Linked DNA regions of Rattus norvegicus. The protein of the gene in region 1 purifies or fractionates together with the protein of each later gene. This does not show direct contact. Links are inferred from orthologs where the notes say so. Each region holds a gene or a part of one and is shown in the gene's direction. Other genes may lie near its edges.

What was found. Proteins that work in one complex are often made in the same cells at the same time.
Region 2: the proteins of Ppp1cb (region 1) and Ppp1r10 purify together in Homo sapiens (affinity purification with mass spectrometry; 5 studies listed by BioGRID and IntAct, with this or other methods). This does not show direct contact. The link is inferred for Rattus norvegicus from reciprocal best matches to the Homo sapiens genes PPP1CB and PPP1R10.
Region 3: the proteins of Ppp1cb (region 1) and Ppp1r12c purify together in Homo sapiens (affinity purification with mass spectrometry; 3 studies listed by BioGRID and IntAct, with this or other methods). This does not show direct contact. The link is inferred for Rattus norvegicus from reciprocal best matches to the Homo sapiens genes PPP1CB and PPP1R12C.

What each region holds. Positions count from the first base shown.
Region 1 is NC_086024.1:29,710,029-29,714,236, reverse strand, and holds the start of Ppp1cb (serine/threonine-protein phosphatase PP1-beta catalytic subunit), read left to right. Parts: upstream 1-1,401; 5' UTR 1,402-1,665; coding exon 1,666-1,717; intron 1,718-4,208. UniProt on the Homo sapiens protein: Protein phosphatase that associates with over 200 regulatory proteins to form highly specific holoenzymes which dephosphorylate hundreds of biological targets.
Region 2 is NC_086038.1:2,835,871-2,839,436, reverse strand, and holds part of Ppp1r10 (serine/threonine-protein phosphatase 1 regulatory subunit 10), read left to right. Parts: intron 1-3,254; 5' UTR 3,255-3,265; coding exon 3,266-3,372; intron 3,373-3,566.
Region 3 is NC_086019.1:78,365,910-78,369,475, forward strand, and holds part of Ppp1r12c (protein phosphatase 1 regulatory subunit 12C), read left to right. Parts: intron 1-983; coding exon 984-1,114; intron 1,115-1,194; coding exon 1,195-1,313; intron 1,314-3,566. UniProt on the Homo sapiens protein: Regulates myosin phosphatase activity.

The sequences.
Region 1 (4,208 bases):
TTGTGTCTCAAATAATCTCATCCACTTAGCAGATGTAATAATGCTCCCTGACACCTAGGGCTTGCTGTAAGGGTTAAATGAGATAATATTGTGTATTACATCTAAAATAATGCCAGGACACATGATCCCAGTAAGTGTTAGCTATTAGCGGTATGTGAGCAAGGGACTCAGCATCGTCAAGTCTGAGATTTGGAAAAGCACAGATTTGAGAATAGGTAAAGGCTTTGACCTGACCTCTTCGAATCTTTGCCTAGATCTTTTTTCGTGGTTACTCTTCCTACTGCCCTTTGATGGCAATATTAGGTGTTGGAAGGAAAGGTGAGCCACGAACATTTCCAAGTCCCTGAGTTTCTATTTCTCCCTGACTTGTATAAAGTAGATAAATACTTGGTGGGTGCTGCAGACTCAAAGATTGAGTTGGTTTCTTGAGATGGGAACTTTTTACACACACACACACACACACACACACACACACACACACACACACACACACACACCAATTATGTAGCTGAAGATGACCTTGGACTTCTGGATCTTCTGCTTCCACCTGCCAATTATAGGGATTACAGGCGTCTCATGCCCAGCAAATGTGATTTTTATCCTCTAGGAACCGAGTGCAGGAGAGAAATGTTTAAAATCACAGGATAAGATGATTAAGCAATATAATAAATCAATGAGCAGAAAAGAACTATAGATAGTGGTATCCTGAGTGTTCGGAGATGTATGATATGATGAACGGGCTACAGAAAGAGAAACCGGAAGCGTGTAAAATCTTATTGCTGTTGACTGAGGCCAACTTTTAGTCTTGTTTCATCTAAGGCTCGCCTGGCGAAATCAGCCACACTGGTGACGCGATGAAGTTCCTCTGATCTGCAATGTCAATCTTTTCAGCAGAGAAGTCTATCTCTAACACACCTAGGTTTCCAACATGGGCAACTGCAGCCCACGTTTCCGGGCTAGCGGAAATACGAGCAATTGTTTGGAAAACCAGTGAATGAAGCCAAGAAAAGAAAAGCTAGGCGGGAAGAACGCAATCATTAATTCTGCGGAACCACCAGGCCCCAGGGAGCAGGAAAGAGGAAGGTCATTCGTGCCTACGCGGGCTCTGCGTTCACTTTGTACAACAAGGCTGGCTCCGCCCTGCGCCTGCGTACTGGCGACTATTCGGCGCAGTGGCCCTGGAGAGGGAGGGAGTCGCACCTGCGCGTTAGCGTCCGCGGAGGGGAGGACGAGGAGCAGGAGAGGCTGGAGGGGGACGTGGCGCGCACGCGCGCCGCTCGGCAAGGCTGGGCAAGGGCGGAGGGGAGGGAGTGACGCTGAGGGCGGGGCTGTCCGCGTCGCCCGCGAGCTTGCGGAGCTGGGCGGTGCCGAGGAGGAGGAGGAGGTGGAGGAGGCGGTGGCGGCTGGGGTCTGACGCGGCCCGGTTCGTGGGGGCCCGCTTGTTTATTTATTTATTTCTAGTGGGTGCCGCCGGCGTGTGCGCGCGCTCTCGCTGCTCGGCGGGGAGGGGGTGGGGGGAGGGCCGGCGCCCGGGGGGAGTTGGAGCCGGGGTCGAAACGCCGCGTGACTCGTAGGTGAGAACGCCGAGCTACCACCGCCGCCGCCGCTGCCGCCGCGGAGAAGCCCTTGTTCCCGCTGCGGGGAGGAGAGTCTGGTGCCTACAAGATGGCGGACGGGGAGCTGAACGTGGACAGCCTCATCACCCGCCTGCTGGAGGGTGAGTGCGGCGCCGGGTCTCCTCTCAGCCCGGCCGCGGGGCCCTTCCCGCTCGAGCCGAGCTCCCGGAGGAGGGCGGGCGGGTCGGGTGCCCCAGGAGGCCCAGAGCGCGGGCTGGCGGGCGGGCGGGGAGGCCGGGCTGAGGCCCGAGGCCCATCGACCGGTACAGCCTTCCGGAGAGGCGGCCGTGCTCTGCTTGGCCGCTGTGCTTGCCTCTGCTGACTGTTCCAGAGAAGGGGCGAGGATGCCTGCCTCTGGGCTTTGTGTGTCCGTGGAATGTGTATTTCTCAATTCTCTTTGTGCGTTGCCCTTGGCAGCCCCCGATTGTCGTTCCGGTAGTGAATTTTACAAAAAAAGTCCTTCCGAGTAAGGCTCTCGGATCGTTTGCATTTTACTGGATGCTCTAGAAAGAATTAAGGAGAGGATACGATGACTAGCTTACCATTTATTCTCTGGCGTACAAAAAATAGTAAAAAATCTTGGATCAGGTTAAAGACGTCCGTTGGAAATATGAATCGCCCGGATACATGTGCTGGTTTGGGGGGGCTTACTTTTTTTTTTTTTAAACATGTTTGAGCCGTGTTTAATTTCTTCACAAACTTAGTAAATGTCTGTTGTAAAGAACCTCTTGGGCTTAAAAGGTATTTTACAAGTGTTCGCAGCATTTAAAGTTCCGGGTTCTTAGGCTTTTATAGATCAGTTTTGTGTTGGTGGGAACATAGGGAGAAAAGAGATGGAGAGGCCAGCGGTTACATGTATTAGTCCGTTGTGGGATACTATTCAAAGTTAAAGGCGGGCCTTGGTCAAAAGAAGCCTTTTACTCTAAAATTTGCGTCGTCACTAATTGTTTGGGGAGTGTGTAAAAAATGAATTGTCTTTTTGAATGATTAAGAGTCCTCTTTGTCAGCCTCCTAATGAATGCGTGTGTTTACTACAGCGAAGCATTTTGTGTTTGTGTTTGGAATTTTACCAAAGAGCGAGGAGAGGGGTGACTTCTTCAGTTAAAGTATGAAGTATCTATTCTTTGTTTAAAAAGAAAAAAAAAGAAAACCTCTATATTTGCTCCAGATGTTAAAGCTTGCCAGCAGTCTTAAGGCTGAGAAAGGCAGAACTTTTACCAGGAACTCTTTCTTATTTACCTTTTCCTTGAGTATCAAGTTATTCCTGGGAGGCCCCCTGGTGCTTGCTGAGCTCACTACTCGGGACTTCGTGGTCTTTAATTGATAGGAACATCTTGCTGGGTCTGTGAGAAATTTGTTTAAAAAAAAAAAAAGTATGCTTGTAGTGCATGGCTGACTCTATTAGGGAAATATAGTTATCTTAGATTTTTATATCTTGTCACTCTTCGGAGAAGGGGGAATTTAAGCCCACCGCTGTTTTCATATAATTTAAAATTTAAATTGTTTGAATCGGATTTTACTAATATTTTTAATTTTTCATAAATACCTTACAGCAGATGCATGCATTTTAAATCGATCTAGAAGCCCTTAAATCAAATGTACTTCTGTATGGTTACAGATACTTAATGTAACTAATAGAGTGAGAGTTGTAGAGAAAAAGGGAAAAGTAACCTCAGCTATATCATCGTTAAATATTTGGTTCTAGCATCAGTTGCCACCACCCACTACCCCCCCCCCCACTTTCGTGGTTAGTAATTCTTGTCAAGATGCATTGTTCTTTTTTCTAATAGATCAAGTGTTTATTGATTGCACTGCCAGGCACCAGGAATCAAAAATAAGGCAGTTCTCACTCAAGGAGCTCAGTATAAACAAGTGACTTTTCAGCGTTTGCTAGCCTTTCTGTTCTTCCTGTGTTGAACGGACAATTTATCAGTAGTTTTGTTACACCCTTATTCCTTAATCCAGTTGAAGACTGTTTACCTCCAGTCCCTCCCTCCCCAAATCTAAACCTGTTCAAATAATTTTCAAAGACTTGGATTTTCTAGTGAGTCATTTCAGTCCTTTAAAAAAAGTTTTTTGAGACAGGGTTTCTTTGTGTAGTTCTAGCTTTCCTGGAACTTGCTCTGTAGAACAGGCTGCCTCAAACTCTGCCTCCCCCAGTACTGGGAATTACGGCTTGTACCTCCTCTGCCGGGTGGTCTACCTTAGTTTTCAATGATGTTGCATTCTAATTTAACTCAAATTCAAGTGGTGCTATTCTGAAAAGTTGCCTAGCAGAACAGAATGACTTGGTTATATATATTGTGTGTGTCCTAAATGACAGTGAACATTAAAAGATACGTAATTATAGTTAATATAAATTTCAGAAGACGATTATCATAGCAAGGTACTACAGTTAGTGGTCATTGTATTGAAGAATGTGAAGAGAACCCCTGTGCTGTGCTCTAAGGACAAATATGATAACTATGACAGCCTTGGGAGATAGGTGTGTGAATTCAGTTTGTTCGGCCATTTCACAGTGCATATACACTTAAAACTTGTACCTAAAAAGATGTAGCATTGTCTGCCGATTAAAGATTGCTTTTTGGGGCT
Region 2 (3,566 bases), on another chromosome or scaffold:
GTACTGGGCGCCTGGTTCCTTAGCTCTTCCCCAACTTTTTCAAAGTCAAGTCTTTGACATTTTCTTCATATACTTTTCATTTTTTATTTAAAGTCCTGCGTTGAAGTGTGGAGTTTCTAGGCAGTTTGTAAGCCTTTTGTCCTGCTGTCCTATAGTGACTTGGGTGCAACAGGGCTAATTTTCTGCTGGGTGTGGATTCTCATTGCTTGGACTTCTGATTGAATGGGAGGGCCTCTTCCACATGTCTATTTACCACACGTCTTTTTTATCTTTTAAGCAGTTTGCCAGGTACCTCTGCAGCACACCTACCTTGGGACCTGAATGTTCCATCCACTGGGGTTCCTGATCTCTAGTGAGCAGGGGATTAGTAAAGAAGGCCTTATGTGGGAGATGAAAAACAAGGCCTTCTAGGGAACCTTGGAGAATCTGATTCTTACAGAGCTGCCAGCTTTCTAGGAACAGGGTGGTGAATGTAATTTTGTATCTTTATTAAAAGCCAAACACTCTTCCTAAGGAGTTTAAGAGATTTTCAAAATAAAGGTGAGGCAAGAGTAGGGCCTCATTATGCAAGGATATAGAACCTTGAGAACCACCTGAGACAGTTCACCCACTGTTGGGTCATAGCAGGAAGCTCTTGAGACACTGAGGGAAGACAGCCCAGGTCAGAACAAAGAAGAGCTAGGGCTTCTTTTCCCTCTTGTTTGAAGACCTTTTTAAAGCTGCCTGGCTTGCATGGACCTTGTGTCCTGAACTGATTCAGGATTCAGTGGTGATAGATGATTAGTAAATAGTCAGGATCAATGTTTCCCCACCATTTTAAACCAAACAACCCTGAAATTCATTTTGAAGTCGAGTAGGAATTTAGTGTCTAGTAAGAACTGCAGGACATCCCCAGCACTTAGAAGGTAGAGGTACGTCACAGGAGATGATCCCTTGTCTCCTTTTGTCTGTGGCCTTCATGGAGATTAGCAGCTGGTTAACCAAAAGAAAAGAAAACATGACCTGAGTTCTTTGTGGTTACAGAAAGTTCCCTCAACTTCAAACTCCAGAGCAGGAGTGGGGAACCCTTGAGCGCTGTCCCTGCCCGTCCGGGTCATCGCATTATTGGGCCTTCACCACATATGATGGATTCTTCCTTTGTTCCCACTGGAAGACCTTATATCGTGCCTGTGAAAATGGCCTAGGTTGTAAGGCACCTAGGGTTCCTAATAAGGAGTCAATACTGAAGAAAAGGCACTGAGCACATTTTACTATGAGGAGACGAGGTCAACCATCCTCCCAATATCCACAGTTGTGGGAAACGCATCTTAATGTCTGTCCTGTCTCCCAGCTTCTTTGGCTACTGTGCCTTTGTGTTTACATGAGTGGGCATGTTAAGTACCTAGGTCCCATTTCCAGCAGAGGGCACTAGACATGCTCACTCTGTACTCATTGGTGCAGTTCTCTAAAGGCTGTCCTCTGCCTTGTCTGCTCACTGAGTGAGGGGCATTAGAGTCAGGCCTGTTAGTTCATGGTAGATACACAAAAGAGGTGTGCTTAGATCTGGGTTTCAATCCGCTGTTTTCAGAGGGGTGAGGCAATGTTCAAGATTTGTCAAATTGCATACATTTTTATTTGGGCTTCTGTTAGATTTATGTGAATATAAACTCCCTACTCTAGATTGCTTGTGTGTATCTTTACCTTGGGCCCATCCATCCCTTTTCCAGATATCTGTTGTATACCTGGAATTTCTACAGATCACTGTCTGAGGACACAGGGGCATTTCTCTCTGTGTGCAGATAGCCTCACAGCAGTGGATTTGCCCTCCCCTTAGCTTGTGAACATTTCCAGTGTTGAATGTCTCCTCTGTCCTCCAGTTCCAGGGTATTGGGTGGCAGCGGTTAACAAGGTCTGCTCGGTGCTTAGCATTTCTTGCCTGCATCTCTCCCCCATGTTCATCCCACAGGCATCAGACTGCAGAGCAGAGACTGCTGCCACCCCTCCTTTCTCTGTACCTCTTTGCTGCTCTTGCTACTGCCCTGGGTTATTAGGAAGTTCACCTTTAAAGCTGACTTTCTTTGTTTACACTCTAAATTTTTTTTTATCTTGTTTTATCTGGAGAATCACTCTTGTCTGACAGCCTCTTTACCCACGTTAAATAGTCCTTTTTAGCACATCTTTTCTGGCTTGTCTGAGGGGAAAACTGATTTGAATTGCAAGACTCTTATTATCTGTAGGAAATGCAGTGATTTTTGTTTAGACTTTTTCACCCTTGGGACTGCCTTGTTGCTGTGATGTGCAGGATGTAGAGGCCCTCTCTTTCCTGCCCACTCGGGCCTGGTCATCTCAGCTGCTCAGGAGGCCTGTGTCTTTGTTTCTCAGAGGCTAGTGCTGATAGAAGTATGACTGAAACCCCCAGTCAGAACCAGAGCAGCTCTGATTCTCTCTCTGCGACTGTAGAAGTGGCTTCCTATTCATGGCACTCACTCCTGTGCCAGCCTGGTTTGAAGTGGTGTCCCGTTTTCCTTGGCTTTACCTTCATTATTTTTGGTTCCTGGTTTCTTGGGAGTTTGAAGAGTGGGGAGTCCTGAGGGCAGGAAAGGGTCAGGTTTGCAACTTTGCTTCAGAAACCACAAGCTAACTTTCTCTTGAACTTTGGAACAATAAAAGCTTGTTTGGTGTTTGTCCAGTGAGTAGCTTTATTCAGGGCTGATGAGAGCCTGCCTGTCTCCTCTTCAGGCAGCTTCTCTCAGTTCCCTAGGGAAGGGCTCTGCTCAGGGCCTGGCTGTTTTCTCATCCACCACTTCAGCTGACTCATTCTTCCACCTGTGATTATGATCTTAAACAGCCAAGATAAAGGGATTGACTTCTGGAGATAGGATGATTGATTGTTAAATTTTTAACCCAGATACCTCGGGTTGTCCTAATTATCTTAGGAAGCTGTAACTGCCCAGCTCACCAAAATTACCACCAGCTGACTGGGGACAGGACCTTAGCATGAGGAAGTGAGCGCCATACCATGGGTCTTAGCCTTGGTACATTCTTGAAGTGTAACTCAAAGTTGGTGTCTTCATTAACCACAAGCTTAAGTTGTCAAGGCTATTTTGTGAGCACAGATCTAATCTTTCTTATCTAGGAAATGGTACACTTGAACATAAATTTGTCACTGAGTTTTAATTGGGCCAATGGGTTTTATTAGAGGGATAAGTTAGTGGACCTATCTTTGCCACCCATTTATCCTGTTGGTTTTTGTTTTTTTTTTTCTTTTACCTCAGAAGCCACCATCATGGGTTCAGGACCCATAGACCCCAAAGAACTTCTCAAGGGCCTAGATAGCTTCCTTACTCGGGATGGAGAAGTGAAGAGTGTGGATGGAATTGCCAAGATCTTCAGGTGAGTCTGTGCCCTCAGGTCTCTTACCGTAGAGGAGAGCACATGCAGTGAGACTGGGTCAGAGAGCAGTGATTTCCGGCCATGTTGGAAGCTGGGGATTTGATCCATAGTCCCAAGCGTCTTCATGGGGTGACACCAAGGGAGCATAGAAACCAACCCTTGGCTTGTTTTTGGGTCATGTTGTGCCTACCCAA
Region 3 (3,566 bases), on another chromosome or scaffold:
AGGCCCATCTGCCTCCTTGCCCCCCCTCCCATCACCATGACAACAGGGTGGAAATAAACTGAGCCCAGAGTGAAGCCCAGAGTTCATCCCGTTCCCAGGGCACGTGTGGCCCCCCTCTTGCAGCCTAAATTTCCATGACTTCATGCTCTTGGCCCTCGTAGCTTCCTTCTCTCTTTCTCCAGATGGTTGAACTTGAAGAAGGGGGTTAATTTTCATGAGGGCCCAGGAGTGGGGACCCTACCCCCTCCCTAGACTCAGTGGTTCCAGTGTCTAGCCAGTGTCATCAGGGATGGGGACCAGCTCTCTGGATATTGTGCTGGCTAGGGTGAGACTTTCCTCTCCCCAAGCTTTCAGTTCTAAGGGTGAGGAAGTGTGTGTGTGTGTGTGTGTGTGTGTGTGTGTGTGGCGGGAGGGGGGAGTAGTGTGGTGTGGGTTGTTTGGAAAAGATGTTCTGAGGGACCTGCGCACAGGAAAATTTGGGAAATATGCCCCTGGACCTCAGCTTTGTCTCTGGGAGGAGGTGCATGTGTGTCTTTTTGTGGTGATAATCTTTTTTTCCTGTGCTATGAATGGAACTCAGGGCTGGGTGATCATTCTTCCACTACCTGTGCTGGGTCGTGTCTGATCAAGGCGCCCTGTCTTTTGGGAGGCCATGTCTGGGCTCTGGGGCTCCTCCATCTCAGGAATATGTTCAGCAATAACATGCAGGGATGGCAGTCCTATTTTTCCAGGTCTACATTTTCATCCTGGCTTCTGGAGCCTCCTCTTGTCTCTATGAATTCTTCATGCTCAGGTGACCCAAACATGGAGTAACTAGGATATTTTAAGCTGCTGGTGGCTGGAGGACCCCTGGGACTTACATTGGAGCCATCTGCATTGCTTTCCACACTCCTCACTGGCCCTGGGTCCCTTTGTAGAAAAGTCTCCGTGTCGGGCCTCTGGCTGGGTGAGATGCGAGCTGATGGGCTTGTTCCCATCCTCAGGCCTGCATAGATGAGAACCTGGAAGTCGTTCGCTTCCTGGTGGAGCAGGGTGCTACTGTGAACCAGGCAGACAACGAGGGCTGGACGCCTCTGCATGTGGCTGCCTCCTGTGGGTACCTGGACATTGCTAGGTGAGGCAAGGGTTGAAGGGAAGGGCTTGGGCTAGGTGTTGGGTCCAGGCCTGGCAGCTCTGACCTTTCCTTTTCCCTAGGTACCTCCTGAGCCATGGGGCCAACATCGCTGCTGTCAACAGTGACGGGGACCTGCCTTTGGACCTGGCTGAGTCAGATGCCATGGAGGGACTGCTGAAAGCAGAGATCACTCGCCGAGGTGGGCCCATGGGATTAAGAGCTTTGGGATTTGGGAGTCTTGGCCCAAAGGTCCTGCCCATTTCCTTGGACTCCGGCTCTCTTTATGCCTCTATTTCTTCCCCAGTAAAATGGGGTTACCAAGGGTCTAGTGAGACACTACCAGACACAAAATAAGAGTACTGGCTGCTATGAATGTGTCTGTCATTTCAGCCCCAAAGAACTGAGAAATGGAGGTATGGTGAGCAAATGCTTGTCCAGGAGTAAGGAGCAAAATGGCTAGATCCTAGACTGGGACATATAGTGGATTCCCTCCTGACCTCCTAAGACCATTGTGTCCTGGTTTTTTTCAGTGGGAACTAGGAGCCCCTTGAATCTCCATGTCTGGCCCTATTCATTTTCCTGGATGAGGTGCTTGTGTTCTTGAGGCTTGAACTCCCGCTCTGCTGGCCTGAAAATCTAGTGCTCAGTGTCTAGGCCAGGTGTGGTGCTGTGTGCCTATAATCCCAGCTTTGGGTGACAGAGGCCGGAGGATCAGGAGTTCAAATTCATGCTCCCTATGTAGTAAGTTCAAAGCCAGCCTGGACTCCATGAGATTGTATCAGCATACAAACAAATCAGTATCCAGAGCCAGCTGGGTGGATCTTAGCTCCCTAATGCAGGGCCTGGAAGGAAAGGAATTGGGAAGCAGGCTAGTTTGGGAATGTTGTGAAGCTTAGCAGGCTCTCTAGGAACATAAGTCGCCAGTGTACCCTAGATTTCAGTTCCACACTGGGGAGTGTCCAGATAGGTAAGAGGGGAGAGAGGACAAATGGATCATGGGAGGATAGTCTTGGCTTCCCTGTTCTTGCATGTTACCACGCAAGGTGGAAAGACATGAGTTTAACATTTTGGCATATTGAATTTCAGGTGGCTGTGAGTCAATTGGGGATGCTTGGTAGCTAGTCAGCACCAAGAGATGGAGGTTAGATTTTAGAAGCCTCCCTGGGTTACAGTGGAGCAGCAGTAACAGTGGTTGAGTCAAGCTCCTCTTCCTTTTCCTGATTTTATTTTGGTAAAACTTCAAACACAGAAAAGTTTCCTCAATACTATGACTACTACCTTAGACCCTTTCCTGGGCTTAATCACAGAATTTGTTGAATTATGTGTTTGGGTCTTTTTTCTCTAAGTATGTCTGTTCCACATGCATGTCTGGTGCCCACCGAGACCATCAATCCTTTTGCAATTGTAGTTACAGATGGTTGTAAACCTCACTGGGTGCTGAGAATTGAACCTGGGTCTTCTGGAAGAGCATCCTGTGCTCTTAACCACTGATCTGTCTCTTTAGTCCTATTTATCTTTGAGACAGGGTCTTGCTATGTAGTCCTAGCTGGTCTGGTACTCAGTATTAGTTCGGACTGACCTTGAATTTGGAGCTTCCTGAGTACTTGCATTATACATGTGTGCCAGCACTCCAGCTGCTGTTTTAAAAGTCTTTTTATTATCATTAATGTGAAAGCTTATGCATTGTGAGGGGCAGAGGATAACTTATGGGAGTGGGCACCCTCTTCTTCCATGATGTGGGTCCTAGGGATGGAACTCAAGGTTGTCAGGCTTGGTGGCAATCACCTTTACCTGCTGAGCAAACTGGCCAGCCTGCCAGTGGTTTTACCACAAAGCAGCATTGAGGCTATAATCAACAAACCTAGCAGTTCACCCATTCAGAGTGCTTGGTTCGTGGTTGTGCTGTGGTCCACGGAGTTGTAGAGTCAATACCACATTCATTTCAAAGTATGGTTAAAGTTACCCTAAAAAAAAAAAAAAACCAAAAAACAAAAACAAAAAAAAAAACCCTGTAGTTTTTAGTCCCTTCCCCATCCCATCTCTAAGGCCTTCTGTCTTTAGGAATGCATCTGACATGGACATTTCACAGAGATGAAATAGCAGTCTAAACAGACATGCTTTACTGTTTTGTCCTGCTTTCCTTCCTTCCATACACATAGGCATCAATACCTTTCTTGTTTTTCCCTTTCCAGCCTCCCTTTCATTCCTCAGCTCTTTGAGACTATGTTGCTGATGTTGTAAACTCTGCCCAGATAATGGAGAGTCCCTCCTTCATCAGGTCCTGCTGCTCTACCCTCTCCAACAAAGAGGTGGGGGCAGCCTGGGGCCTTCACCCTCAGTGCCACAAGGTAGTTCATGCTGTGACCTGAGCTTCTCCCACTGAGAGGCTTTAGTGAAGGTGAGCCCATTGGTCTTGCCTTCCCCTGCTGGTGCTGATACATTTCTCAGATTC